2 linked regions of the Coturnix japonica genome follow. The protein of the gene in region 2 interacts with the protein of the main gene of each other region in a biochemical or structural test. Links are inferred from orthologs where the notes say so. Each region holds a gene or a part of one and is shown on either strand. Other genes may lie near its edges.

What was found.
Region 1: the proteins of MIS18BP1 (region 2) and MIS18A form a complex in vitro, tested with the Homo sapiens proteins (2 studies listed by BioGRID). The link is inferred for Coturnix japonica from reciprocal best matches to the Homo sapiens genes MIS18BP1 and MIS18A.

The regions. Positions count from the first base shown.
Region 1 is NC_029516.1:94,339,766-94,354,608, reverse strand, and holds MIS18A (protein Mis18-alpha), read left to right. Parts: upstream 1-6,323; 5' UTR 6,324-6,401; coding exon 6,402-6,651; intron 6,652-6,726; coding exon 6,727-6,793; intron 6,794-6,890; coding exon 6,891-7,013; intron 7,014-8,036; coding exon 8,037-8,130; intron 8,131-8,226; coding exon 8,227-8,307; 3' UTR 8,308-8,898; downstream 8,899-14,843. Other genes in the region: MRAP (melanocortin-2 receptor accessory protein), read right to left, coding at 110-209, 4,962-5,067. UniProt on the Homo sapiens protein: Required for recruitment of CENPA to centromeres and normal chromosome segregation during mitosis.
Region 2 is NC_029520.1:53,292,790-53,307,779, reverse strand, and holds the start of MIS18BP1 (mis18-binding protein 1), read right to left. Parts: upstream 9,241-14,990; 5' UTR 9,212-9,240; coding exon 8,815-9,211; intron 7,494-8,814; coding exon 7,356-7,493; intron 6,536-7,355; coding exon 6,030-6,535; intron 5,185-6,029; coding exon 5,108-5,184; intron 4,316-5,107; coding exon 4,185-4,315; intron 3,750-4,184; coding exon 3,659-3,749; intron 3,260-3,658; coding exon 3,096-3,259; intron 1,736-3,095; coding exon 1,569-1,735; intron 656-1,568; coding exon 547-655; intron 1-546. UniProt on the Homo sapiens protein: Required for recruitment of CENPA to centromeres and normal chromosome segregation during mitosis.

The sequences.
Region 1 (14,843 bases), on a different chromosome or scaffold from region 2:
ATAAATGTTTTGTGCAGATTATTTATAAATCTGAATAAATAAGATAAATAATGAATAAATAAAAATAAGATTTATCACACTTAGCTCTTTTACCTCTCATTGTACTTACTTCACTGGATTTGATCCAGAGCGGGACATGTAGAGCAAAATAAGGAAAAGAAACATCACAAAGGCAGCAAGTCCAACCCAAAAGGCTATGACAATAGAATCTGTGAACACAACACAGTAATTCTGTCACTGGTGACATGGCAATTACAAGCAAAACAACAGTGCAGTTTATGATCTGTAAGAAAGGTATGCCATTGAATTAGTTGAATTTAACTAAACCCTTGAAGGAGGGGAATCTGAGTGCAAATTTGTTAAAAATCTGAAGTTTCCTAGTAATTTAACACTGTACAGCCAGGGCTGGGGGATAGAATGGAAAATAAAATCTCATAAGTGCATTTAAAAGGTAATGCTGAGTACTGAGGGTGGTTTTCATTTTCAGCTCCTTGCAGGGGACGCATTTCCTTTTACAAAATCACTGTGCAGTCAGCATTGTGTTATTCAAGATAAAGCCATTACTGTCTCAATGTGTGGCCATATCCTAGTCTCTGGTGAAACAAAATGTAACCCGTGACCTTTCATATGATGCTTTTTTAGGGAGGAAAGCCTAGCTTTGAAAACATATTCTACCAGGAGAAACACTAAACCTCCACACAGGAAAGCCTGTTCTGTAAAGAGCCTGTGGCCTCCAGGATACACCAGTGGAACAAACTGTGAAGAGCCCGCTGTTCAGCTGCAGTACTTCTGTAATTGTCACAGAATAGTTCAAAAAGAAGCTTACTCCACCAGAGCTAAGTGATTTATTTAAGGAACAAGTGAATGGATTCCTAGCACTGAAGTACAGGTTCTCAATTGGTTTACACCAGCTGGAGGTCCGATCTGAGTGACCACAGGGCTTCAGGAGTTCAGGAGAGCAGAGCTCAGAAAGGATATGGAGGGAAAAGGGAGCTCGTTTTCTATGACTTAAGGTTCAGTGCTTCTGAAATGACTGCCTCATTTATGAGCTTGCTGTTAGATGGGATGAATCCACTTCTGCCCCAGCAGCACTGTTTCATAGATGCTCCTTCCTAGGATCAGTGCAGTAGTGAACTTCCCAGCTAAAGCCTCAGAAAAGTTGGGTGTTGGGCAGAGCACAAGTCAAGAAATGCTCCAAATTCATCACTGGCTTCTCACTTAGACTAAGGTGAAAAAGAAGGGTCATTGACTCCAGGGACAAATATTGACCAGGAAAAAATAAATCTTCTATCTCAAAGGACAAAAAACAGTCATGTTCTTTGAAACAGGTCCAACATATCTGATGAGGTGTTTCTTTGTGAAAAAGTTCAGAACGTGTTGTCATCAGAGCCACAAAGAGATAAGGGGGAATTACTCCAGGTCCTTTATACCTTCAGCTAGAGCTGACCCAGCAGGAGGCTTATCAGAGTGCTGAGTTTTGGCTGGGCTACTGAGAAATGAGAATGTACAAAAAACTACTGAGGCATCAGCTTATTTTATTCTTCCTCTGGTAAAATACACAAATAAACAACCAACCACACAACAACCAAAACCCTTTCACTGAACTTTAATTCAAGGGATGCTAAATGAAAATGGATGGGCCAGTATTCTGGCCTACTCTCCCAAAAGTTATTATATGAGGCAGTGACTGGGTGCTACTGCCAGTCTCAGCTCCTCAGGGGAGAAATGGAGATATTATGAAAAACTTGAAGTGCTCAGAGCCACGTGGAGAGAAATGAAGAGCACAGATTTACCAAATTCCATATCAAAGCTATTTTAGTTTCATCTTTAAGAGCCACTAATACAATTCATGGAATTCACTGAAGCTTATCAAATTTGTTCCAGATCTCAGGGCAACTCGTGAGGGATAAACAGAAACTTCCTGGCTGTTTTTACAGTCTTATTAATCCTAATTAGGATTCTTTCTGAACTGGGACAATGTATTTTAAGAACCTATAAAAATCTCTTCTATTGCTAACTTTCATAGTCAGCTTCTATATGCATGTGGATATGATTTTGAACAGCCTGTTCGTTTGTGGGCCAATTAAGCTCTGTATTATTTTCATACAAAATGGGTAGATGCATGATGCTATGAATAGAAAGCAAGAACATGACTTCATTGCTGGATTTAGATCCATTTTCATGAGACAAACAAGCTCTCACCGTGCTTCGGGAACAGGCCACATAACAGAGGAGAAAGCACAGAGATTCAGGTCTCTGTTTTACACTCAATAAAAAAAATAAGGCAAGACGGAATTAGGGAGCTATAATCCCACCCCAGGGGTTATGACGAATGTATAGTTCATTAGAGCTGATTCAGAGAGGCACCTGAACAAATGTTCAAGTCCCATTGCAGTCAATCAGGAGAGGTCCCCTGGAACATCAATATAGCGCTTATTTTAATTCTAGAGATATCATATATTTTGCCAATTTTGGAATATTTACAGCTCTATAAGCCCCTATTTAAGGGGAAATGATCACATTTCATCTTCTGCACAAAGGGCAAGAACTTGCTGAACATGATTTGTTTACATAGTTCCAAGCACATGAAGACAATAATCCCAGCAGCTGCTTTTGAAGGTAAAAGAATGTAAATATTGTGGAAAGACAGGAAAACCTATAAAGTATATTCATTGCCTTACCAGTCCTTTTATTCAAAGCAAGGAAAAAAAACCTAACCAGCTGTGGAATTATTTCCCTTGCTATTTTCTTTATAGCTTGTTTTCCCATTGGCAATTGGAGAAGGAAGAATAAAAGTTCTAGTATGACGCAGCGTCCATTCCTTCTAGGCTGCTGACATGGAAAAACATCTATTTTTATAGGAAACCCAAAAAACCCCCAGCGACCAGACAGTTTAACTTTCCTGTCCATCAGGAAACCAAACCCAACGTTTGTAATTTGGAAATTGATACAGCCAATAAGAGCTTTTTAAAGACACGAATCGTGGAGCAGAATCCCATTTTGGAACACTGCCTGGAGATCTGTTACATAAACAGCTGCCCCAGGGAACACACGCTGCCTTAAACCTTGCCCTGCAGAGGGGGGAAAATTGTAAATCTCACACTGTACTCTTACATCTTTCTTTTTCCTCTTTGCCTGGGATATGGGCAGCTGACATACAGAAGACTGGTTTCCTGCAGGTTTGTTTCCCAAAGCTGAGGCCAAAGGGGGTTTTCTTGCTGCCTAACAGGGCACAATTTCTTCATAAAGCTTTTTTTTTGGTCAGGAAATTTCTTCACTCACAGTATTATTCCTTCATTATTTAACCAGCTGCTACAGGAACTTATGGGTATTTTATATTGTTGAAGTCTCCGTTCCTTTATTATTAGATCAGTGAGTTGAAGTTACCAAAGGAACAGAAGATCCGACGCGTAAACAAAAAGCATGATCACGTAAGTCACCTCCTTAGAATATAAAGAGGCCTGAAAGGTGTCAGACTTCTCTGTTTCCTTATGGTAAGAGAAGAAATAGGGAAGAAAAAAAATCACTAAGAGATTGGTTTACTATGTTGTGGGTTTGTTTGTTTGTTTGCTTTTTAAACTGAAATAAGGCTTGAGATCACTCATGAGCACTCAAACAGGTATGTGGCAATGCTCCCTGCGAAACTATCAGTGAATTTCAGAGGGGAAACATCTTCTCACAGGAGCATATAAGGGGTTCCCTGGTGGGATTTGCCAGAGATTATCTGATATAACTTTCAAACGAAGAGATTTAGGTAAGTGATGTAAAGCTGCTCACAACCTGCCTGTTCCCAGCAGCACCAAACGTTGCTCTACACTATTCTGGTGCGGGATTTTATATATGGAAGGCTGTGGATATTTACATCTTCTTCTTTTAGGTATGTTGCTCTTGGTTACCTAAAGTTGGAGGCAGTAAACCTAGGCTCATTAGAGTTGGCAGAAAAGCTCTTCTAGAGGCAGTGCAGAATAAAACTCTGCTCTCATTCTTGCTCCCATAAGATCACAAAGCTCCCCTGCACAGTGAACTGAATTAGGTGCCTGAGGAGGGTGGTCGGAACGTTCCTCCCGCACACTCTCAACCTTCACTATTAGAAAGGCACTGCCTTGGAAATAATTTGAAAGCATATGATATTTTTCCTGCAGACCTGATCACTGTAATAACATTGGGGAAAGCTATAATAGTTCCTGAAACTATACCTGCATAGTTGCAGTTGTCTTTAGTAAACCAGAGACTAATAAAGCCACTGCTGTGGCTTCACGATCACAAAGATGTGAGAGAAACTGCAGAACACTGCCCATAGCTCAGGCAGTTCAAACATATCTGTCTTTTCTCCCTTGATCTTCATCCACCCATCCAGCTCTATTGACTTCCATGGCAATAAGGTACTGTGCTGACAATGTATATTACTACTTCATCTGATCATTCGGTAGCACTAAACCACAAGAGGAAGAATGATAGAATGTATTTTCAGCTTATTGTTCCTGGCCAGCAGAAACAAACCTCTTCCTTTACCAAGGTTTTAAATACTTATCAGTTGTAACATAAGCTGTATGTCCCAAGCTGAAAACATGATAGTCTTACAACAGAACTTGTAACTTTTCTTAGTGTAGCAGACAAGTAGTTCACACCCCAAGCCTACAGATCTGCATGTAATTAGATTTACACTCAGCAATGATAAAAAGCCCGTCCTTCTAAATAAAAGTTAATATTAGCAGTCTTACAGTTTCAAGTATTGTAAGATAAATCATAGAGCTTCATTATTAGCAGCAACTGCTGTTAGAACACAGTCAAGGAAAGCCAGTTTGGCACACAGACACCCATCCATACAAACCTTGCACGCTTAAAGCATTATGGTCTCAGTCACAAAGAAAGCAAGCTAAGTCAGTAAGACAAGCTACGCAACATTTTGCCCGCTCATTTTTCCTGTACTAGATAAACACCTACTACACTATGATACTTACATTTATTAACTTTCAACTTCCTTCCATCTACTGGAATTGGATCTATGTAATCCCAATAATATTCGTAAGACCAGAAGTACTCAGATGAGTTTGTTCTGTTGGCCATGTCAGTAGTGCATTTTAAATCAGCTTCAACCAAGTACTTTTTTTCATTGTGCTTGAGCGCCCTCAGAAAGAGATTGCTTAACTGATGCCTATGTAAATCACTCTGGAGTCCTGTAGCTCAAGGACTGCCTTGGTACTAACTAATGTTGAGCAAAAATGAATATTAATGCCTGACAGATAAATAGTAGCAGCCTTTAAGCGTAACCCTTGCTTCCTGGTGGGCAGTTACATTATTCCTCAGCATATCAGAGCTGAGATGGATGCCAAGTAAGCTAAGAATGGGATGGACAAGTGCCAGATGTGTCACAAACCCTTCTCTCTGAGAGACAGCTGCAATGAAGTGTTCTCTGGAGCTACTGGAAACAGCCAGCTGGGCTGAAGGAAATCTCTTTCTATTCACATAAAGGAGGGGGCAAGTACCTGACAAAATGCATCATAGACAGAGGATGCAACAAAGCTGATGAAAAGTCTGGAGCATAAAATCATAACAGGGAGTAGCTGAAGGAGCTGGGATTGTTCAGTCTGGAGAACAGGATGTCAGGGGAGACCTCACAGCTCTCTACAACTATCTGAAGAGAAGCTGTGACAAGGTGGGAGACAGCCTCTTCTCCCAGGCAATGGTGATGAGAAGAAATGGCCTCAAGTTGCACCAGGGGAGGTTCAGGTTGGGTGTTAGGAAGGATTTCTTGTCAGCAAGAGCAGTGCTGCAGTGGCACAGGCTGCCCAGGGAGGTGGTGCAGTCACCGTCCCTGGAGGTGTTCAAGAGCCGTGTGGATGTGGCACTGAGGGACGTGGGCAGTGGGCATGGGGGCCACAACGTAGGTAGAGCCAGCTGAAGGCTTGAGGTGTTGGGCCGTGGCAGCATAGCAAGTGGTACCTAAACGTGCTTAACTGAGCTGAGCAGCAAGGACAGCAGGCCCTCAGCTGGCTTTTGGCTGCATCCCTAAAGCCTTCAGTGCGTGTGGTGGCTGGGGAAGCCAGGGCCGCATCCCATAGCGCACAACGCACCAGTTTGGCTAAAAACAACTTTGAAACCAACCAAAGCCACTTTCTCTCTGCCTTCTCAGTGCTACGTCACCCAAACACCTCCTAACACACTCCAGCAGGGGTTATGAAGGCACAGCACTGAGCTAGACCAGCGCTGACACACAACCCCACCTCCTACGTCTACGCTAGTAACGTAACCACGCTGTGGGCAGGGACATGTACTAATCCCCGCCCCTGCTACGCTAGTTGCGTATGTACGCTGTGGGGCGTAGCCACGCACCGAACCCCGCCTCATGGACGCGACGTATTCGGGCTGGTTCCGGTTCCGTCGTGGGCAGTTTGAAGGTGATGGCGGGCTTGTTGTATCCGCTGTCAGGTGGGGCGGTTGCGCTGGATTCGTCTCTGCCTCTGCTCGAGTCGACCATCCCTCGGGAGGCGCTGCCGATGGAGCGACCGCGGGCTAACGGGAAAGGGGAGGAAGAGGAAAACGACGAGAACCTGCCCATGGTGTTCCTGTGCGGCGGCTGCAAGCGGCCTGTGGGAGATACGCTGAGTTGGGTGGCCAACGATGAGGACGCGACGTGTATTCTGCTGCGCAGTGAGTGCTGCTCCCATCTGCCCTCTCCTGCATGACGGCTTTTGGGGGCCCTTGGTCAGTGTTGGCTCTGTGCAGGTGCCTCCAGCAACATCTCAGTGGACAAGGAGCAGAAGCTGTCCAAAAGGCCTGGAGAGTGTGGATGGTGAGCGCTCTTCAAACCACAGTCGATAAAATACATGTGTATGTACTTTTAATAGGCGAAGGGAGGAGTGATTTGCTCTCTTTGTTTTTTTTTAAAGCATGGTTGAAACGTTTTCCTGCTCTGGCTGCTCGAGGGCACTTGGCAGCATCTACAGATGCACCCCAAAGCATCTCGACTACAAGAGGGATTTGTTTTGTTTCAACGTTGGCTCAATTGAAAGGTAAAGACAGAATCTGCATTGCTGTCGGGTTAACCTCACCTTCCAGACACCATATCAAGGGATGCTGCTGCTAACAGTCTGAGCAAGTTCCCTATGGTAGTTAGGTTTTGAGTATCTCTGGAGGAGACTCTACAGCCCCTCTATGCTGTTCATTCTGGTAGTCTGCCACTCTCATGGTAAGAAGCTTTTTCTCATGTTTGTATGGAGCATCCTGTCTTCCAGTTTGTGCATCTTGCCCTCCTGATAGGGCCAGGCTCTTTTCAGTGGTGCCCAACTGCTTGGCTCTGCCCTTTAGATATTTATAAGCTTTAATAAGATCGGTTCCCTCAGAATTCTCTTCTCTAGGCTGAATAGTCTCAGGATCTCAGCCCTTCTGGTCTTAAACTGTTCTTTGATGTTTGAGGATGTTGTTAAGTCTCCACATTAGAGTTCTGTCCGAAGTTTATTTAAAAATCTCAATCTTCAGAGCCATCTTAAAGGTGGAAGATTTTAAGTATCCAGACTAGAGATCTTTTATCCAAGTGTTGTTATAGTACTAGTGATAAGCTACTGTTACTTCCATGTGGGCTAGTTTTACTGTTTCTACTTCTATGTGAAGTTCCAGCCTGTTCTGCTGAACATACATGGGTGTTTTCCTTCCTACTCTGAACAGTCTTTTCTTCTTTACACAGCTAAATACTTTGGTTTTTGATGACAGTAAAAGTCTCTGGAAGACTATGACAGGGCTACAGAGCAGCATTCTCTTGGAGTAGTGATGATGTCTAGTTCTCCCATCTAGTGCTACACTAATCTTAATATCTGAATGACATCTTGGTTGTTTAGAGCTCAAAGCTGTTGAAGTTTTACCGTACAGCTCATTTGCAAGATTGCTAAAAATAGGGTTGTGTTATTGTTGTTGCCAAAATAGTGCTTTGACTGTGCTGGTGCATTAATTGCGATCTTATCAAGAGTGGCGGATGAATCATACAAGTGTTCTTTTGCCTTCAGAATGAAAAGTGCATCATCTAAACTGTAGCATATCAGTTACATTCTAGGATCCTCAGAAAAGCAGGCTGTTACTGATGAGGAACCTTTAACTCTCGAAAGTCGAGTTGCCTTGGAAGAAGCACTAAAAAGGGTAACGCTTAATCTTGCATTGTTTTGATGACATCTATACTTGTTCTTTATATTGTACACCTGTTTCTAACCAGGTCTTTCCCCATTTACTTCACAGGCAAACACCATACTAAATGCTCTGGAGGCAAGGCTGGCTACTGTTGAATCAAGAATCGATTCTCTTCACAGTAATGCTTGAAAGAAAATCCTGCGTGTAAAATAACTGCTGGAGATTGATGTGTGTGAAACTGGGATCTGTGGGAATATTTTAAAAGCTGCTCGAAGATCTGAAAGATGTGGGCAGTAGGACAATGCCAGCTACTGAGTCTTTGTCACAGATGAGGAGTTCCCCTTTTGTCTTGAGAGAATACCCTGGGAAGAAAAAGACTTCTAAAAAACATTTCAGTCAATTTGTTGTTTATATAGAAATATTTATTTTTTTTTACCTTGGAAAGCAAAGGTCTTATCTCCTGGTTGTCCTGTATTTTAATATCTGCTGAACTGAAGGCTTCAAATGCATCAGCTACTATGGCTTCCTGTGCAGTACTGAGAGTCACGCGTGTAACAGCCTCAAAGAGGAGAAGAAACAAGGCTACTAGCAGCACACCTTTTAATCAAAGTTAGGTGCATATTTGAACAAAGAATTCAGTGCTGCTTAAGAAACTTCTGTCAATATTTCATTGTTAACATGTAGATCTTACTGTTATGGTTTTCTGTATGTATGTCTTCCTAGCATTGTGTTGTTTTTTTTTTAATCCCCAATAAATCAAAGTAAGTGGTAATCGTGTAAGGGAAAAATCTGATTTCTGTTTATTTACATACCATTGCCCGATGCTACTTAATTGCATCACTGCTAATTTTTAAGTAGTCTCCAGAAACTTGGAATGAATTTTCCCACTGTTCTTCCTACTGGTAACTACCATTTCTCTTGAGAGCTCTCTTATTTTTCACTCTCTCTTCTCTCTTTTTTTATCTACCATTTCGTTTTAAAGTAGCACGCAGTTTGGCACATTGCAGTTGTCTTGTAGTCTTTCCTGTTCAGGCAACTCAAACACTGTTATGTTTATGCCTGCTGAGGTATTCTAAGCTCTGGTTGTTCCAGTCAAATTACTCAGTGTCTTTTTAGAAGCAGCAGCATCTCTAGCAAGATCTTTTGCTTGAAAGTTGTGCAGCAGACCATCTGAAAACAACCATGAACTTTGCTGTCCTTTAACTGAAGATTGGTTGACGTTTTTCATAGAGTGTATTTTTCTCAATTGCTAACACTGGCTTTGTAAGCTTGCCTTTTCAGGCATAACCCTTTATATTTTTTATCTGTATAATGTGTGTATTTTCTTTTTCATCAAGTACAGTTATGGGAGCAAGGATGCAAGCCCTTGGTTTCTGGGCAAAGTCTATGGCCATCCAAATGGCCATTTCTGGCCAAAGTCTATGGCCAAAGTCAAAGCATGCTGTGTTCTTAACGTCTTCTAACAAAGGTTAGAATGTGAATCAAGTTCACAAAGGTGAACTTGTGTGTTTTTCTGCTTATTCCCTGTCTGAGTTACAAGCGTGTTGGGGGTGACAGATCCAGCAACCTAGCAATCGTCACCTTGACTTGGTTTCCAAGTAGGCCCTTGTGTTTAATGACATTAAATGTATATCTAATATTTCTAGTTCTACCTTGGGTTCTGAGAGCCAAGTTAACCAGCCTCAAGTAGCATCTGTAGACATGTTCCTCCATTAAATATTTGGAGGGCAGCTAATTGTAGTTCAGAGCTATTCCCTAAACAAGTCCATCACCTGAGTTCCTTCAGCGACTTTAGGGGATGGGTGCTAGTATTGTATTGCTGTAGTGTGTAGCAGGAATATAATGCGTAAGCAAGCATTAAAAATAAGTAATGATTGCTTATCTTATGGTAAGCACATACCTTTCATAACCGTCTATCTTAGCTACTAAGAGAAAAAACACCTGCTGATGAAAGGAATCGGAAAAGCAAATTGCTGCCCTCAAATTGCAGGCAGAAGTGACCATATAGCCCAGTTTAGTTTCTGCTGTGGAGCATAGGTAATGTGTTTTTTAAATGTGTTAAATAACAGTAAACTAAGATGAGATACAATGATAGTTCTCCATCTTTTATAAACTACCTGCCTTTGGCTACACTGCATATTTGGTGCCTTTCAGCATATTGTAGGTGGGAGCTCAAACACTTTAGCGCATAGGCTCTTAAAATAGGTCTATGCTCTCAAGAGTTTCAAGCTGGCTCTTTGCTAAGGTGTGCAATGAACAGGCTAAATCTGGAATGAATTTCATCCAAAGAGCTATGTACATCTGCATGGGGAAATGTGTGTGTTTGGGTGTGTATATGAAATAATCTTTGCTTTTTGCAGTGCAGTTCAAGTAGGAGCTGGTATCTGGAGCGCTTAACTGGGTAAAGATAATACAGCACAGATTGATTGCTTGTTTTTTTAAATATAGAAATGTCTGTTGTGATACATTTGAATAGTTGTTAAACATTAATAAAAGCTGTAATTTTTCCCTGAACAACTAAAGTTAGTAATAAAGTTCTAATGTGCCAACGTGATTTATAGGCATGCAGTCATATGAAAAGGTATTGTTTCTCGTTTAATAAGCAGTCTCCATTACTGGTGGTTATTCCTTCTGTGCTCACTTTCAACCTTTGAAAACAGGGTAGTTTAACGCTGGGGGTTCTGCATGCTCTGTTGTATGTTTACTTATCCCAGGTACCTTGCACACTGTGCAGTGAGGGGAATATGTTGCTCAAGGTTGGAAGAGATTTTGCTAGGGAGAGGAAAATTAGTGTGGCTGATTGCAGGTTGGAGAACTGAGAGGAAGGCGGAAAAACTATGGCTGTAGTTTGAATGCTCATGAGGAAGGAGAAACCTCTTGACTAAGGTTTCTACATCAATGGGTCAAGGTCTATGTGTTTTCCACAGGGCAAGTGGCTTCTTTCCTGACTGAAGGTGGTATCTGCGTGTAGAGACCTGAGGTGAATGTGTAATGTGAAATGAGACACTTGGCAGGAGCCTCTAGCTCCCTTATGTCTCCTAAGGTCCTGCAGTTTATCCACACTTTGTCTTTGAACAGCTATTAGCTGGAAAACCAGCTCCATTTAATGATGATTCTTCTTCCAGTGTTAGGATTGAAAAAAAAAGAATCTGGACTGGAGAAAATGTGCCAAATCAGAAGGAACAGAACAGAAGGTAAGAGAGAACTGGTACATCATATCCTGACAGGGAAGCTGGATGTTGTGGGAGTGAGCAGGATGAAAATAGATGTGTGGATTCCAAAGGGAGCGAAGCACCTGAATTAGTTTTGTTACAGAGAGATCTGAACTTCAGATTCTTGTCCTGTGTACACAGGCAACATGACTGATACAGTTACCAGAGGCTAAAGTGCCACAGCGGATTGTATGCTGAGTGAAATAAATGTTATTCTTACAAAATACGTTCTTTATACTCTTACAAAACAAGCATTGTAGTGCAGATACACGCCAAGTTCTCTATACAAAAAAAAGAAGGTGTCAGATCTTTGAGAACCCTTCGGGGAAGGAAAGGATGGCAGAAAGTGTAATCCATGATTGAAAAGAGAAAGTCAGAGAACTACTCAGTGAATATTCTTAGTGAAAAAATAAACAGGAATAAAATTGCAAAATGAGCTAAGTGCTGGTAAATTTGTACTCAACATCCATAGGATCTACAAGAGCCTAGAATGACACTCAGGCTGAACACTTTGATGTGACACTTAAAATGAACACTTGGTGTATTTTACATGGAGCCATGAACTGGAATGTATTGTTACTGTAATTAATGCTTTAGCAATCTGCACCAAATAGTGCCAACAACCACTAGTCAGGGTTCAATAACATCAGCACTTGCTGTTAAAATTTTCCAATCATCACATTTTTCTATAATTAAACAATTGAAACTGTTACATGCCGACTTTGTCATAGAGTCTTAGATTCATTAAGATTGAAAAAGACCTCTAAGATCACCCAGCCCAACCACCAGCCCACCCCCACCATGCCCACTGCCCACATCCCTCAGTGCCACATCCACACGGCTCTTGAACACCTCCAGGGACAGTGACTGCACCACCTCCCTGGGCAGCCTGTGCCACTGCAGCACTGCTCTTGCTGAGAAGAAACTGTTCCTAATATCCAACCTGAACCTCCCCTGGCACAACTTGAGGATATTAACTCTCACTCCACCATGTTCCCCTTCTCCACTAAGATGTTCACCTTTGTGCCCACAGTCCATGATGCACCTCCTCCTGTGATGTTGCAGCAATTTGCCAATGCTTGGTTCTTCATCAGGTGATGTGTGCTGATGTGTTCATAAGGAGTTTCTTGGGATGGCTTGAATCCTGCACACTTTCAAACAGCTGTTTGTTAGCACATCTTCTTGGCTGGACTATGAATATATATATAATGGTAATAAACTAGTGGTAAATTAGTGATCATGTGTAGTATAATGCTTTGGTATAATAGCTAGTTATGCAAAATGAATGCAAAGTTAAAACAAATTAAACACTAATTGGCTGCTTACTAGACAGTTTTGTCAATGTAGCTAAAACAAATGAGATTCCAGCCAACACACCACTGGCAATGTGCTGTTACAGCTACAACCAAGCTAAATAAGCTCAAGGCTGGACAAGCGCCAGAAGCGTTTCTCAAACCCTTCACTCTTTTATTGCCATGAGAATACAGGGATGGTGGTCTGCTAATGGAGACGCTGTATTTACTGTGCTACGGGACTACAATAGAGGTAAGCCTCATTTCTACAGGGTCAAATAGCGTGACGCCGCCCAGGTGATTTTTTCCTTATGTCTCCCATAGTTTCATCCTGTGTGGCGAGAGGAACAGAGAATCGTCATCAACTTGAAAATGAGCACAGAAACAAACTAGTGTTTTCTTCTAGGCTCAGCCAAGCCACCCAGGAGACCAAACCTATGTAATTTGATAGTACAAGGTTTTATGTCTGCTGCTAGAACGGAACTGCTAGGACCATAAATCAGGAAAGATCCCCTTGTTTTCACTTTCTGAGGGTGTAAAAGCTACTTTTCTCCCATAAGCCCTAAGGGCTACTTCTTATACGTGGATGACAGAAGGTCTGTTTTAAAATCCTTTGTAAACAGGGAAAACTCTTCCCCAAACTTCCGTCACAGTTACTAGAATGACCTGACAGCAAGGGATTAAAAACCAGAAGTACATTTGGGTTTTTTCTGACTTATTTTTTATACACCAAGCTGTCAAAGTTACATTGGGCTGCCCAGGGCCCCATCTAACCTGGCCTTGAACACCTCCAGGAACAGAGCATCCGCATCCTCTCTGGGCAGCCTGTGCCAGCACTTCACCACTCTCTGTAACATGCTTTATTTCATTTGAAGCTACACAAAAACTGCATTTGAAATGAAGTGTGTGGTTTTTAATAAGCCAACTCCTATACATGACTGTACTCAAATCAAATCAAATACGCTCCATAAATGGAAATCTGTAAGATAGGCACTGCTGGCAGCTGCCTGTGGGTTTCTGTGGGGTCCCTGGGCTGTAGCGCTGTGCCAAAGCCCCTGTGAGGTGCAGGGCATGCAGCCAGGATCCATGCAGTTTGGCAGGGCTTGTCTGGGCAGCCTTCCCTGGCCTCATTTGGGTAAAACTTTCCTCTCAGGGCCCCAGTTTAGAACCACAAACAAACAAGAGCAGCAATAACAACAAAACAGGGACTGGAAGCTGGGTTCGTGTTACCATTTTCATGCACCTAAACCCGAGGTGTGACTTGCAAGACTCTGGCTACCATCCAAGTGAAATCTAAGGGGATTAAGCCTGCTTTAGGCTCAGGTGTTTCATCACTTACGAAAAATCAGGGCTGAAATGGACACCTGGGAAGTGACCTTTGGGCAGCTGCCTCATTTATTTCAATCTTGACCGTCCCTCCATGCTTTCCCAGCGAGGCCAGAAGAGGGCACATCTCCATAAGAATTCCGCTGCCTCTGAGCGGTGACGATCCGGATTTTCCTCTCTCCAAACCGTCCCGCTCAATCGGGACGCGGATTTTTCACTAGGCTTTTAATGGCTGTTCTTTAAGATTTGCATTAGCAAAGATCTGCGTTATATTGGGCCAGTGGGGCTTTTCTGAAAGCAGCTGATGAGGAGAGAGCTTGCAAAGCTTCATATGTGAGCAGGAATTAACAACGCTTGGAAGCAGTTTGCGACTACATCAGCTCTTCCTGATTGCCACTATCAGAAAAGATCGTTTCTTAAATCACTTCCTCCTCAGCCTCAATAAATACGGAGTGTTGGGTTGGCTTAGCCATGAAAATCTGCAGCCTTCCATTCATAACACTGCTGTTAAATTCTAGGCTGCTTATTTTACCTTTCCCCGTGCCTCATTAGCCTCCTTGAACAATTCAACCCTTTAGACACGGTGAAAGCTGGGTTCCAGAGCTGGGTAGCCCAGGCTTAGGGATTTAGTTTTGCAACCCTTTATTTGGATGCGTCATTTAACTGCAGCGTTAGTTAGACCCAAGGGCTTTCTATTCCAAAGAAATGAGCCATTGCAAAGAATCCCGGGGAAGAAGATTGGGCCAGATTCGTTTCAGGACACTTTTCTCAGCACAGCATTCCTAGGAATTTCCATCTTTCAATAGCATCTTTACCACTAGACATACAACATGTGAACTTTGCCTAGAGAAGACTTCAACTGAAAGAGGTTAATTATGTGTTCACAAAAGTCCCC
Region 2 (14,990 bases):
CTGTATTTATCACACAGATCATGTTTCGGTAGAAAATAGTTGCTTTTAGGGCAGAGTATTTTGCCTTATATTTACATTGGTTTCAGGGTGCTGCTGTTTCCCAAATTTTATTAAAAATAAAGGCTTCAGAACACTGTCAGTACAGCCACACAGGCATTTCATTTCATTATAGTTGAGCAGCTTGAAAAGTAAAGCCAGACCAACAGCTGGCCCAGGCAGCTCCCTCGGGTTGCACACATCAGCCATACTGAGACCCAAAGAGGAGCAGAAACTTCAATAAATGACTTCCTAATGGCTCAGATTTCTGGGAAGAAATGTGCATGTCCTCCTGCTGTACCAAAGCAGCAGTTTACAAACATGTTCTGAGCTCTGGAAGCAGCCATCAATGTTACTCTGCTAATTCTACACAGAAGTGAATGATAATCAAAGATGTAAATAAGTTGTTTGCACCAGCCAGACATTGCCACGCTGCTGCAGCACCCAGCTCATCATCCCACTCAATAACTTTCAATAGAACAAGCAAATCTTTGTGGGTTTTTTTTTTACCTTTATCTTGGCTTTTTGTTTTTTCTTCCACTGTCTTTGTTGAATCCTTTCTTTCCTTCGTCTTTGAGAGCGAAATGGTCTTTCTTTTGGGCTTTTCAGTACTACACATCTTCAAAATAAAACAATTCAATCTAAACTTCTGCTAGAGGTTACATAGCAAGCCTACCAACACCAGCTCTGAAAGAGCCAAACGTCTACGGGATGGGTAGAGTTCAGACTCCTGCATTGCCCAGGATCCACTCAGTGCTGTCTGATGCACACAGGTGCTGATATGAGCACACGTGACTAAGGCAACTTCACCAGGCTCCCACTCCATCCTCTAACAGTTAAAATCTCATAAGTTAGGACCTTCTGAATTGGACACACATCCACACTGCTGGAGCTGCTGACAAGAGCTGGTGTGCTCCCTGGGCTGTATGGCCAACTGATCTTATGGAGAAAACAGCTGCTGAAAAGAACGCTGCCTTCCTTCACACACCCTTTGCTCATTATCACAGTACCATCAGAGTTGCTTGGAGTGTTGTAATATATGAGAATAAACCTCCCCAGTCAAAACTGAAGTGGGTCTGGACAGACCAAGGTGTAAGAAATGAAGAAACATCTGCTCCTAGTGAATATGAAACTACACAGAAAAGGGAAAGCTGAGAACAGTACAGATAATGTAAAACCTTGCCTACAGCTCTGGCGGGGATTTGATGTTACACTGCAGGAAATGTTTTACTTGGGAACAGCCGTCACCCAAAGCAGAACCTCTGCACAACTTCCTGACCTTCCAGAACATTCCATTTTTTCCAGAAGGAATCTCAGATTATCCCAGCTTCACAGGCAACTACAATTCTCTGATAATTCAGAGGCTTTTTTTCCTGCTTTAAGATGCTTTCATAATGTTTCCAAAACGCCCTGCCTAGTCAGGCACTCACTGGGACAGCCTGTCTGTCAGTTTAATGGCACCGAAGTTACTGACGTATTTATTATCACCACTTACAGAAATGTGTAACTCACAATGTGCAAAGGACACTTACCAAGCTCAGATAATCCGTCCCACCTTTGTGTATAGTAACATTTAGCCCCTGATCCACAAACTCACGCTCCCCACACCAGAATCTGAGTGGTGGTTTGACCAAACGGCCACTACGGGTGTAGATCCCCTGGGAGCCATTTGGTACAGGGTTGTGTTTTGGTGTTCGATCTACAAGAAAAACAACAAGTTTCAGTTCAGCCCCAAATGCCATATTGAAAACTCACCATCACACACTTCACAAGCATAAGAGTGATGCTGTACTTAAACCAGTTCACTGAGAACCATAGAACTGTTGAAGCTGGAAAAGACCTTCAAGATCATCAAGTCCAACCACAACCACCCAACCATACTAACCTGGAACCTGCACAAACAATAAGGAAAATAAAGATGTACCACAAAGTAACGATGCTCTTTTACAAGCATGTAGGATAGAAATAAACATACTTGAACAAGACTGAAACAATCATCTTCATGTACTATAAACCACTGTGAACCTTTCACTTCGCTTACAAGGCTATGAAGAACTTGGAAAACACAGAGAATTACAGTGATAAAAGAGAAGTTGTCGCACTGAGCAAACCTTCACTATAATGAGAAAATGAAAACAGTTGTTATGTTATGAGCAAGACAATCTGATTACAGTACTAACAGCTTGCCAAGCCCTGCTGGAGCCTCAGACAAGGTATGGAAAAGAAGCTGAAGTTAAAAACCAGAAGTTAACTGTGTCCCTAATGAAGTCTGCATTACCAGGCAACAAAAAAATGTTGGTTGTTGGCATATGCCTTCACAATTGTTCCCTCTGGAAACAGACAAAGAAAGTAATTCTTCCACAACCATTCTGACTATGCCCAATGCTTGTTAGCACATCACTCTATTCCTTAGCTCTGGCAGTAAACCAGTAAGATGCCATAAGACAAACCTGCTGCAGGAGCAGATTCAAGGAAGGAGTTAAAATGAAGACAGCCAAAAAAGGGGTCAAGGGTGGAGGCCTTGTGATTGGAAATCACAGCCTGAACCTCTGATTAATCAGCTGAGGCAAGTGTTGGGTCAGCTGTGGAAGCACAGGTGAGAGTGATTTAGCTGTGCTCCCAGAAGAGGTGGAGCTCGACTCCACCTCCTCTAGACCTCATTGTGGCTGACCACCACTGAAGCAGCATCTCTCTTGGAGATTGCCCCCTGGTGGAGATTGCCCCAGCATTTCCAGTGAAGGCATCCATATCATTAAGTTTTCCTTTATAAATAACCTTTTGAATATTTGTCATCATCTTTGTTACCATCTCCATATAATTCAACTTTACACCCATCCCTGCAGGCATTCAAGGCCAGGCTGGATGTGGCTCTGGGCAGCCTGGGCTGCTGGTTGCTGACCCTGCACACAGTAGGGGGTTGGGACTGGATGAGCACTGTGGGCTTTTGCAACCCAGGCCATGCTGTGATTCTATGAAAACAAGAACCAACAAAGCCACCAAAAGCAAGCTATCACAAACTATCCACCTCTTCTCTAAAGAAAAAGATTTTGAAGACTCACAAGTGTGTTCATCTTTCCTTGGTAACACTTCATATGTAGTGTTCCTTGTTTCATGTTTCTTTGCATTTCTTGCTGAGTCTTCTGCACTTTGCACCTCATCTGTGTCCACCACTGAGTCACTCTCTTCATTTTCATCCTCTGTAATCCTTTTTTTGTGATCTTTCCTAATGATTTAGAGGTTAAGAAAAAAATAATAATAAACACTTAAAGCAGTTATCCTTTAACAAAAGACTTATGTAGACTCAAAGCCTTCTCCCCATCCCAGTGGGACAGTGCAGCTCTACTCATAGTGGCATGGTTCAAGCCACTGAATCAGCGATGCCCTTCACTTGTATTGACCCCAGGCATCTCAACAGAAACAAACCAAAGCATTGTAATGAAGAATAGTAAGGCTGGGGCACTGGGCAGCCTGGTCTGGTATTAATAGTGGAGGTTGGTGGCCCTGCGACCAGAAGTCTCCATACACACACCTACCATCTTTTATCTTCCACTAGTATAATATATTTAAAAACCAACTAATACTTGGGAAAGTATTACAATTAAACAATTTCCAAAGAAATTACCTTCTTAATTCCTTGAGTAGCTCATCAACGTATTCCTTCCACCTTTCAGGAAACCCAAATGTAAATCTTTTTATGAACAGATAGGAAAACCCTGTGTGAAACAGAAGTGGCATTAATAGCTGAGCAATATTTTTAATCAGGAAACACAGAAATACCACACAGTAGGATTTGTTTGTAAGCACCTCAGAAACTCACTAACATCCTAAACATTAGACAGGCAGATTTTCCCAGTTTGAAAGAACTGTACATGTCATGATAAAGTGGACCAAGGGCCACAGGACACAGACATCAGCCTGTGAAGATGGCATTCTGGTTTTTGGGAGCCAGGAACAGGAGCCTGCCCAGCACTGAGGGACTGGGCAAAGCTCCCAGCTCCATTCAAAGCTGACAGAAGTGCTGATACCCCCCGAGCCCAGACTGCAGAATAACATAGAACATTCGCTTTGATGGTATGTGCAAGTTCTCACAGCCGTAACTCTAAAGCCCTCCTAAGTCTGTAATGTTACATTAAGAATGGTCTTCCTACCTTCTTCTCTCATCGAAGCAGAATCTATACGTCCCTGTAGCAAGTAGATACTGCCAGATGATGTTTTAACTTTGTTGTATGCTACACGTTCTACAACTGCGTTACTATGCCACAACATATCCTTCATATCTCTAGGAAAAGATAAATAACATTAATAACACCAAAAAAAAAAACGACCCAATTTTCATAAAAGGAGGAATTTAAAACAAGAATTTGTTATTCCATATCAGTGTAATGCGATGAGTCAGGCAGACACTGGTAGAATGTGCTAGGATTTCCTTTCTTAGTATGGAAGATTTTCTGGACCCCTTAGTTAGTTAATATTTGGACAGGGAACAAAATGAGCTTGCCACCACTGCAAGTGTTTGTCGCAGAACATGCCATGCACTAGGCTGCAAAAACAAAGTAGACTAAAGGACTCCATTCAGCTCAGTGTTGCAGTGATACCCTCATGGATGTTACAGAGGTGTTAGCATACAAGCCCAGTTTAAGCTCCCCCTGGGAATATTTCATTTCTTACTTTTCCATTTAAAAGACAGTAACTGAAGAAAGGAGCTCCAGTCCATGCAAAAATTAGAGATTAACAAGTGTTTAAGAGATCTCTCAATGAGAAATACAGGTGAGTATTAATGTGAAAAGAATCTACATAGAATTTTTTTTAAGTATACTTTAATAGCAGTAGGAACAGACCAAGCTACAGAGCAGCACTAAGGGCACATAGCCCAAATGTTGAGCTGCCTAATTTGCCACAAACAACAGAACTCTTCGGACTTTCACGCAGCAGAATTGCATGGAACTGGTTCTAACAGCTACCAACATAATCCAACCCCGCATCTCAAAGGATGGCACCACCTTTAGGGCTGAGATGTTGAAACCCCTTCAACATATTTTACATCGCATTTAAATCAGATTTTTTTCCTTACTTTCGTTTTCCTTCAACACAGACTGCAGTATAACCATTTATCACTTTAATGCACCAGCTGGAAAGGCAGATTTCTTTCTGTGGGGAAAAAAGATCACAGCTGCTATTATTCTGATATCAGACTAAGCTATGTAACACTGCCAATGCATTGGCAAAGTAGAAATTAACTAACTCCTGGAAAAAGGAAAAAGCCTTCTTTTATACAAACCAACCAGACAGTCGTCTGGGAAAAAAATAAAAGAAGTCATTTGAGGGGAAAATATTTACCGGTACGGCCTGAGGAGGTTTTACACTGCTCAGCTCCACCATGCTGCGCTCTCATACCCCCTCCTCAAAAAAACAGGGTGAAAACACATGGTGAAAGAAGGCTCATGGGCTGAGCTAAACAGCTTCATTAAATAAAAAAAAAAAGTAAAACACAAAGACTGTAGAGAAACAAGAGGAGAAAATTACTTCCCATCAGTGAGCTACACCTGGCTACATCTTGGGAAACAGGGCCTCCACTGTTGTAGCAGCAGCTGGGAGGACACTCATAATGAGAGCTCCCCTCCTCCTTCCCCAGCTCCTACTGCTGCACATGATGTCCCACGGTGTGAGATATCATTTTGGGTGCTGTAGGTCAGCACCCCAGCAGTGCCCCCCTCCCCAGCTGGCTCTGGGGCAGGTTTGCTGCTGCGCCAGCACTGCCCAGTGCGAGACAAAGCAGCACTGCACATCACTGCTGCTCCAGCTACAAGAGCACAGCCCAGTCTGGGCTGCTGTGTGGAATGTGAACTCCATCCCAGCATCACACCCAGTACACCCAGCAGCTTCATCTGTAGGCTCATTACTTTTGACAAAAAAACAAAATGATGACCACAAGCCACAGGCAGCCCATGGGAAGTTCTACCCTACAGCTGTAACAAAGCAGGAAGTTCTCCCACCTCTTCGTCAGCAGTGACAGCGATCTGATCTGCCCGAGGTTTACCCACTATATTACAGTTTTCTTTCTGCTTCTGCTTCCTTGGCACGCAGGCTTCAGGATTAGAGAGCGCAACATTAGAGAAGTGCCGTGAGGGTTTTTGAGTTGCAGTCTTCAGTATCTTTTCTGCTCTGTGCTCAGCTCGCTGATTGTTTGACTGCAACCGTCCTTTCTCCTGTTGAATTTCAGGACGTTTTGCTTCTCTATTTCCATATCTTCCTTCTAACTGATCCCCAGGGTCAGAAGTGGTAGAACAGATACCCACAGTACTGGCTACTGTATTTAGAGACATTTCATCATCAGCATCCATTGATTCCACAAGGAAATTATCCTCATTGTCCTTATCAGCAGCCACATGCTCTGTCTGAGCATTTGGGAGCAGCTCACCAAAAGCAGATTTGACCACTGGCTTTTCTGCAGCTGGGCGAGGAGGAACGTTCTGCTTGTTTAAGTTTGAAAACGTTGGATCTGCCAATTAAAAAAAAAAAAAAAAAGGCAGTTAGTCATGTTAATCTGAGTATGTTCTCGTGGTTAGCACTACTGTTCTGAAAGCATTAACTCAACTGCCAAGCCTTACAGCAAGCACTTCATTGAATTGCTTTGCACTAGAATTTCATCACTACCAGACCAATACATAAGCATCCCACTTTCCCCCAGAATCAAGCTGAGGCACATGGCTCAGGCACGCCCTGAAGCCGTGCTGGCTGTCTGGGATCACCTCCTCATCCCTCATGTACCTTAACATCTTTTTCTCAAGGACCTGCTCTGTGATCTTCCCAGGCACAGATGGGAGGCTCACCAGCCTGTAGCTCCCTGGGCCTTCATTCTACATTTGTCATCAGGAAACCAAGCCTTTCCTTTTTATGTATTAAAAGCAAAAGTGTGGGGGAAAGACTTAGCAAACAAAAAGTTTAGGACATTTCCATCAAATTCCCATTCTAGTGCCAAACTGTCACACCTGGTTTATAAAGAGTTCTTAACCACAACACCAGAGTCTGAATGAACATCAGACAGGTACAAATGGAAAAACAAAAACAACAGACAAATGATGTCAGGCTTCAATGCCCGAAGGCAGCATCCTGACCTACAGCCTGCAAGTCTGACGCCATCTCCAGGGCTGAACAGGCAGAGCTGCAGGTTTCTTGCACCTCTTTCCTCCGTGCACAGACTACAAAGACAAACAACAGCCTGCACTATTCTGCCAATAGCACACAAGAAATTATAAGAAAGAAAGGCGTCCTGAAGTCCCGCAAGCTTTTGATGCGGTTCTAAGAGCAACATTGAGTACCTGTCTGCTGCTGCTGCTGCCTCTGCTGCAATTTCTGCTTCATACGCAAGAAGAACTTCTGAGGAGATTCCAGTACGATCGGGTCGATGCTCAGCATTTTCACAGCCTGGTTCTGGGGGATCTGAACGTGGGGTAATTCTGAAAGAACAGATCAAAAATCAGTTGAAACTGGGGAAGAAAAACATCGGGAAGAAGAGAAGCAAAAGACACATTTCATAAGATCCGAATGCAAACAGGATCTATTTTGTACTATTAAGGTCTACCCAGTAGTACCCCCCAGAGGAACACAGGGCTCGGTCAGAAATCATTATTGATATGAGATAAAACGAGGCAGGATGGAAACACACATTTTGGAAAGCTGGGGTTAGAAAGGAAAGTTTCAGAATGTTCAGGTTTTGTAGAAATAAGAGGCTACTTGTTTTCATCATGTCCAACAGATACAGTGAAGGCAATGAGGGGCTTTAAGTTGCAGCAAGGAGATTTAGAAAGGCTTTTAAAATAACTAACCATGAAGCCTGGGCACTACTACCTCCATAGCAATACTCTCAGTTAACTAACTGGATAAATGGCCAACACGTAAGATTTAGAATGACAGAGTTGTTTGAGCTGGAAGAGGCCTTTAAAAGTCATTATTTATACGTAGTACACTTCAGGCAGGTGTACAGAGATGAAGCACTGTAAGCTGATAAATCAGACAGTATTTCAGTGGCTCTTCCACTCAGAACGGCCCAAACACGAGGCTAACAGGGCTCTGCCATGGGACAGCTTCCCCTGCCAACCATCATTACTGCCTGCACGGACGGCAGCTCTGTGCCAGCAGGCAGCAATTCCTAACACTGCAGCACTGCTCTGGGTCAGAGCTTGGACGGGGCTCTGAGCAGCTGGAGGAGCTGTGGGTGTTCCTGGTCGTGGAGTTCTTCATCTGCAAACTCGGCACTGCAGCAGCTGCTGGGAGCTGGATACTACTTTGCAGATGCACCAGAGCCGGGCACCCAGCAGGTGCCTCCCAAGTATTTCAGCTTCCAAGCAGCTCTGCCACCAACCCTCCTCGTTTCTCAGCTGTCAGAACAGCACAAGCTATTCATTTGTTTCTGTTTATCTCACAGCGTCACTCTCCAGACTGAACAGATGGCAACAGATCAGCCCCATTCGCAGACAGAACAGGGGGAACACATTGAAACAAACCGATCGCGGTTCCTCAGCACGGTGGGGTTGGGCGGGGCCTGACAGACCATCCAGCCCTGCGCGGGACGGTGTCCCCCGGTCCGGGCACCACAGAGGAGCACCCGCAGCTCCGGTACCTCTATCACCGCCTGTACCACCGGCTCCGGGTAATGCTGGCGGCCCTCAGCTCGCACCCAACCCCATCTTTCAGCTTCGATCCCCCCGCCGCAGACGCTCCCTACAGCCCGCAGGTAGCGCTGCCCGCTCCCCGGCCGGGCACACGTTGGTTACCGACCTCTCTCGTGCTGCTGGTCCCTGCGCCTCCCCCCGTCCGCAAGGCGCGGCCCGGCCCCGCCGGGTGTCAGGATTCGGTCAGTGCCGTCCGCCTCGATCTTCATCTTCATCCTGAGGAATGCCGCAGCCGGGCTGTGCTGGGCGAGCTGCTGGACGAGCTGTTGCTCGGGCTGCTCCCGCGCGCAGCGTTTCGGTGGCGGCGGCCCGGGGCGGATGTCGCTGATGTCGCCGATGCCCATCGGCTCCCGGCCGCCCTCCAGCATCGTGGATTGCAGCACGGGGCGCGGAGCGGGGCCGAAGCGGAGCAGGTCCTTCAGCGGGGTGAGCGTGCCCGCGGGGATGGAGCTGAGCGCCACCGCCTGGAACGGCATCTCCCCGCGGCGGGGTTTGCTGATCATGGCGGTGCGGAGCTGCGGGCCGTGCCCGCTCTGCCCTGTGTCCCGGCACGCTGTGGGACCGGCCCGGCCCGCGCGGCGACACACAAAATTTGAGTTGGAATCGCCTCGCGCTGATTGGCCGCCGGGCGGCGTGACGTCACGGGGCGCGGAGAGGAAATGGCGGAACGGAGCGGAAGTGAGGTAACAGGGCGCCATTACGGGGCGGGGTAATGGCGGAGTGGTGTTAGGCTGATGGCGGGCTGATGGCGGGCTGATGGCGGGCTGGGCTCCGTACGGGAAATGCTGCGGCTGTTTGGGCTGCGGGTCTCGGGGAGCGGCGACAAAGGAGGAGCTCTGCTGCTCTGTTGGCTCTGCTGGCTCCTGGTGCGGTGCTTTGGGGTAGCGGTGTGTGGAGCGGAGCTGCTGTCGATGTGTGATGATTCTTTGTACCCTAGAGCAGAGGAGGGGTTGATTGTGTGAGGAAAGAAAAGCCATCCTGGCTGCCTGCAGGGAACTTCAGCTGACAATAAACAGTATATTTGAATTGGTTTCCTTTGAGTTTAGTGATTACCGGTGCTGCGTACAGGTGGAGCAGCAGCTGTGTAAGGAGGAGAGCTGAGTCCTGCAGGGCCAGTGTTGGGTTTGGAGGTTAAAAGTGCAGGTTCTTTAGCTCAAGGTCACACCTGGAGGGTGGCAGCTGTGTCTGAGCCTTGTTGGGTCTTAACAATTAAAGCTAGTAACAGATTGTGTGTTCAGGTGTCAAAGGTCAGGAATGAGGGTAAAACATCTGGTGCTTTTAAATGCTTTGGGCCACAGTTACTTTGGTTGTGTGAAGTAACAGCTTCTGCTCTGTTTTGATGCCAATGAAACCCAAAAGAGCAAGGAGTCGTCCTGCAAATCACACTCCTACGTGCATGGTCCCATCAGTGCTGTGTTTAAAGTACTGCGCAGGTGTGAGGGATTGTTTAGTGTACCAAAACTACATGGAAAATGCACAGAAAATGCCACTAAGAGAGATCAGATTTGAACACTGCTATACAAGTCCTGCAGGGTAGGGCACTGCTCAGCTGAGGGCCACGCTCACCTGCTCCAGATGGCCAGGCAGGTGGAGGGTCTTGGATGTCCTCTTGCTGAACCTCATTTAACAGTTGGTCTGAAGCCCACCTCGTGTTCTAGTGTTACTGGTCAGTAAGTGTATGCCAAGGAATCTGAGTAGTCCCACTGATTTCTTGCAGCTGTAGAGCTGAACAGGTGCATTTCCTGGGAGTGGGTATTAATGTGGGCTGGTGCTGAAGGTGTGTAAATGAACATTGTTCAAACTCACATCAGAATGCAGAAATCTTTTTATGTGGGAGAGGAGTTCCTCGCCTTATGGAAACTGAGTGTGCAGTGCTGCAGTGATTTCCTCCAGTAGAAGGCGCACACAGGCATTGTAAGCAAGGCTGAAAGCTTTGAGAGCCCAGTGAGCAAAGGGAGAGGAGCAGAGAACTTTCCCCACCAGGAAATTCTAAAGCCAGTAATAAACTATCTTGAATATACAGACGTGTATATGTTAAATATGGGTATACTTACTTCTGCCCTCCCTACCCTGACAGAGAAACATGCAGGTCTTTTTTTCAGCCATACCAGCAATTGGTTTAAAGTCTCAAAAATCTGAAGGACAAATTGGTTGACATAAAAGCCTGGAAAATTAAAACCTAAGTACAGTTTTCTTCCAGGAATGGCTGTATGCCTTCCAGTAAATGAAAGAAAACAAACAAGAAATGGGGATAAAGCACAGTGAAGGTAATGCCAGCAAGTTATGCACCAGTTAGCCAGACAGGTCATAGAATCACCAAGGTTGGAAAAGACCTAAAGGATCATCCAGTTCAACTGTTCACCTATTACCAATAGCTCCCAGATGTGTAGATACGACTGGTGTAATGACTAAGCTACCAGAAAAAATGGCTCCAGGATGAAAAGTTACACTAACAGACGATGACTCTTTGCTGAGCTTCACGGTAATTTTAGGAAAAGAAAATGGAAGAGCTGAGGGCAGAAGGGCATTTCTCTAATTATCAACAGTAATTTATCTTGGCTGAATGGGATACAATAAAAGGTGGTTAATTTTAAACACGCTTCCCTTCTTTTGGTGTAGAGAATCCCTTTGTTGGATATAAGTAAGCAGCTCTGCAGGTTTGCTGTTCTTATAACATGGCTCCTTTCCACACTTGGGCTGCTTCACTCTTCCACTGCTGACAGTTTGTCTCTTGCAGACTTCCATTCCAATCCACAGTGTAAAAACAACAGATGATAGGATGGAAATCAGTCATGATAACAGTTATAGGAGTTCTACTGAGTTAATGGAGCTGGTCAGTGTGTTGGGTAAGGTGAAGGGGAAGTACAGTCCAGTTTGCTACAAGGGGAAAACAAACAGGACACTTAACAGTGCACAAATATCAAATGCTTTTAGCTACCTCTGTCCCATTGGTCTGTTTAATATAATTAAGAGATTAACAGAATTTGTGACGTTGTGTTACCCACCAGCACACTTTCACTCAAGAAACTGCACAGCCAGGAGCTTTCTCTGCATAACATGGAATACAAGTGGGTACTGTTCTTAATCATTTTCCTAAGTGTTCATAGGATGGAAATTAGGCCTTAATACAGCCAGAGGGGCTGCAGGAGGTACCCTGTAAAGGTCACACTGCCACTTGTGTCAGTACCAAGAGCTCAGCAACGTCTGCTTTATTTCGTTGTTGGAAATGTTTACTAACTGGTGTTATTTCCTCCATGAGAGGGGAAATGCCTTTAAGTGATGCCAGTGCTTTTCCTTTATGGCAAACGGGCACTTGTGAGACACCATGAATACCAGTTCAGCAGTGCTGCTAGAAATGGGGGCTGGGATTTTTCTACGATGCCCATTTAGAGGAAGACCCTCAGGAAGAAAGGTTCCCTTAGTGAGTGTGTGAGCACAGTGCTTGGTCCTACAGTGCCTCACTTCACACAGGGCTTCAGAATGGTACTGGAGCACACAGGGATGGGAAGGCTGCTGTTTCCAAGGTGGACACCATCCTTGGTACAAAGGGAACACGGCACTTCTGTGTCATGTTTTCCAAAATGCCTTCCAGGGCAACACGGATCTTTCAAAGCTCCGACTCCGAGGGTTCCCCGGCTCTGTGGGTCACACAGCAATAACAGCTGGGAGGGAAGAAACGGCTCCAAATTGCGGTGCCACAGATTGTTACAGAGCTTTCCTGGGCTCGGATCTATGGGAGCAATAGGTCCCATATAGGTCGTACGAACCAAGTCGTAGTGACCCTTCCCGGTTTTACCGTCTCTAAAGCACTAGAGGGCGGGCTTGGCTTAAAAATCCAGGCTTCGTGCCCCTTCTGCCTGCTCTTCTGCGTTAGTGCCGAAGGAACGAAGGTTTTTATCTGTAGAAGCACATAGGATCCGATGTCCGCATTATTCTCTGTAAATGGTATCTTTGCTTTAGCAAATGCTCGCCGTGATTATTAGGTTTCATGCCACAAGCGCTGTTTGTGTGGATGAAGTGATGAGAGTTACTGAAGTGAAGCATTTCAGTGCTAACGGAGCAAGTTACGGGATGCACTGCGCAGTATAAAAGTGCTGCAATTGATTTGACAGGTGTGAAATTAATATTAAAACTTTTTAATTCATCAGATCGTCGAATCATAGAGTTGTATGAATTGGAAGGGGCCCTTCAAGGCCCCCTGGTCCCACTGCCCCAATGCACAGGGACACCCACAGCTCCATCAGTACTCACAGCCCATCCCCTGACCTTGGCTGTCTGCAGGGATGGGGCAGCACCGCCTCTCTGGGCAGCCTGTGCAGTGCTTCACTACCCCTGTTGTGAAAAACATCCAATCTAAATCTCCCCTCTTTTAGTTTACAGCGTGAGTAAGAGCTACGAGATTAGTGCTTGAGTTACACAGACCGAAAGAGATGTGGAGCAAATGGCAGGGCAGATAGTTACACTTTTCACCATTTATTTAGTGGTGGATTTTGGAGGTAGTCGATATTTTTACCCGTTGTTTTTATTTTGCATAACGTCCTGTATTCCTCCCGCATTTCAGGGTGACCAGTGTGCTGAATCGTTTGGCTGCTAACAATGGCTGAGCTATTGCAGATGGCCTGTCATGATAAACTGCTTTGTGAAGTAATGCACTGCAAGTGCCCTTTGCCTTCCAGTGGGTTTTCCTCTCACGGTCCTGCAATAGTGCCCTGTGGCTCCGGGATGGAACAATCCCGGGCAGTAAAGAGATTGAGATAATGACAGCCCATGGTGACAGCAGAGCTAGCAGAGCTGGCAGATCCAGCCCGGGGGAAGAAAGACACATCCTTGCTGATAGAAATGCCTCCATCCTTTGGGAATTGCAGCTTGGGAATCAAAGCTGACCTCATAGACAAGGATGACGGAGAACAAGCTTTTGATTTATGACGAGATGAAGCTCAAAGTCTGCCCTTCTGATCCTTCCTTACAACACACCTTTTGTATTTTATATGAGCTCTTGCACTTTATTCTTAGAATGTTATCTCCTGGGGTATCATCTTGAAGTCTTTCAGTTTTGCAGTCAGTTCTCTCATCTCCTTTGAAGCAGGTTGTTTTGGTTTTGGTGTCGTGTTGTTGGGGTTTTTTAATCCAACTAAACCCCATTTTTATTGTCACAGACAAACTAGCCATTTATATTTAATACTGATCAGTTGCCTTGATTTCTTTCTTTTACTTTTCCTCCTTCCCTTCCTCCCTCCCTCCCTCCCTCTCCCCAGGCTCTCCTGAAGGCAAAAACCAGATTTGCTTTCTCGACCACTCACTCCTCTTGTCAGCCCCATTCCTTGGTGCCTCGTCTGTCCCAGGCACTTGAATATTAACAAGTTACGTTTTTCATAATGAAATTTATGGGTCAGATCCTTAGTAAAATGTTGACCTCTTCTGACTCAGTGAAGCGATGTTGCTTTTCACCACCGATCCCTGCTTAAGGCTCCCACAGCAGATGGGATCAGCTGTCAGATAGCTGGTTGCTTTGGTGTGTAGGTCTCCTGCAAACTTCTTAACTCCCTCAAAGTGCTAAGGTGCTGTGCAGCTGGGTTTTAACCTTGTCAGCTTATTCTCATCCAAATTATCCAGTGTTCCTATTTGCTGTGCCTTCTGTGACAAGCAATAGAATGGCCATAAAAAGCATTTGTGGTGCTGTCAATTATAAGTGGGAAAGGCTGTGACAGCATAAGCTCAAGCACAGCTTTCTAAAAGGGAGTGTTTCTGTGCATCAGCTCTGCCGTGGCCGTGTTTAGGGCGCTGCTATTCCCATATATCTGTCAGCCTGTCTGTCATCTGCCTGCCTGTCTCCCTGACGTATATTGCTGTAGATAAATACGCTCCGTTGGCGATGAAAAGGAAGTGACCTCATAAGTTTGTCTGTTCAGCCACAAAGGTTTGGTTGTAACGTGACATTCCATCTGATTACTCTGGTTTACACCAAATTCAACAACCTGTGGCCTGCAGATACTCAGCATAAAGAGCAGAGAGAGGCTGACCTTGACAACCTCATTTCTCATTCCTTTCTTGTTATAGGTAATATAGCTGAAAATGTGGTTTTAATTATAGTACTAATGAAAACTGAAAATCCAGACAGACACTTGACAAACTCTGGTACGCTTTATATGACATTTGTGCTAACTACAAAGTACCCAGCTGGGTGTAACATTATCTCTCTTTTCCTTGAGCATCCGCCTGACTTAAGCTGTATAATTAATGTGTACTTTGGCTGGAGATCGGTTTACAGTTGGTTTTTTAGCA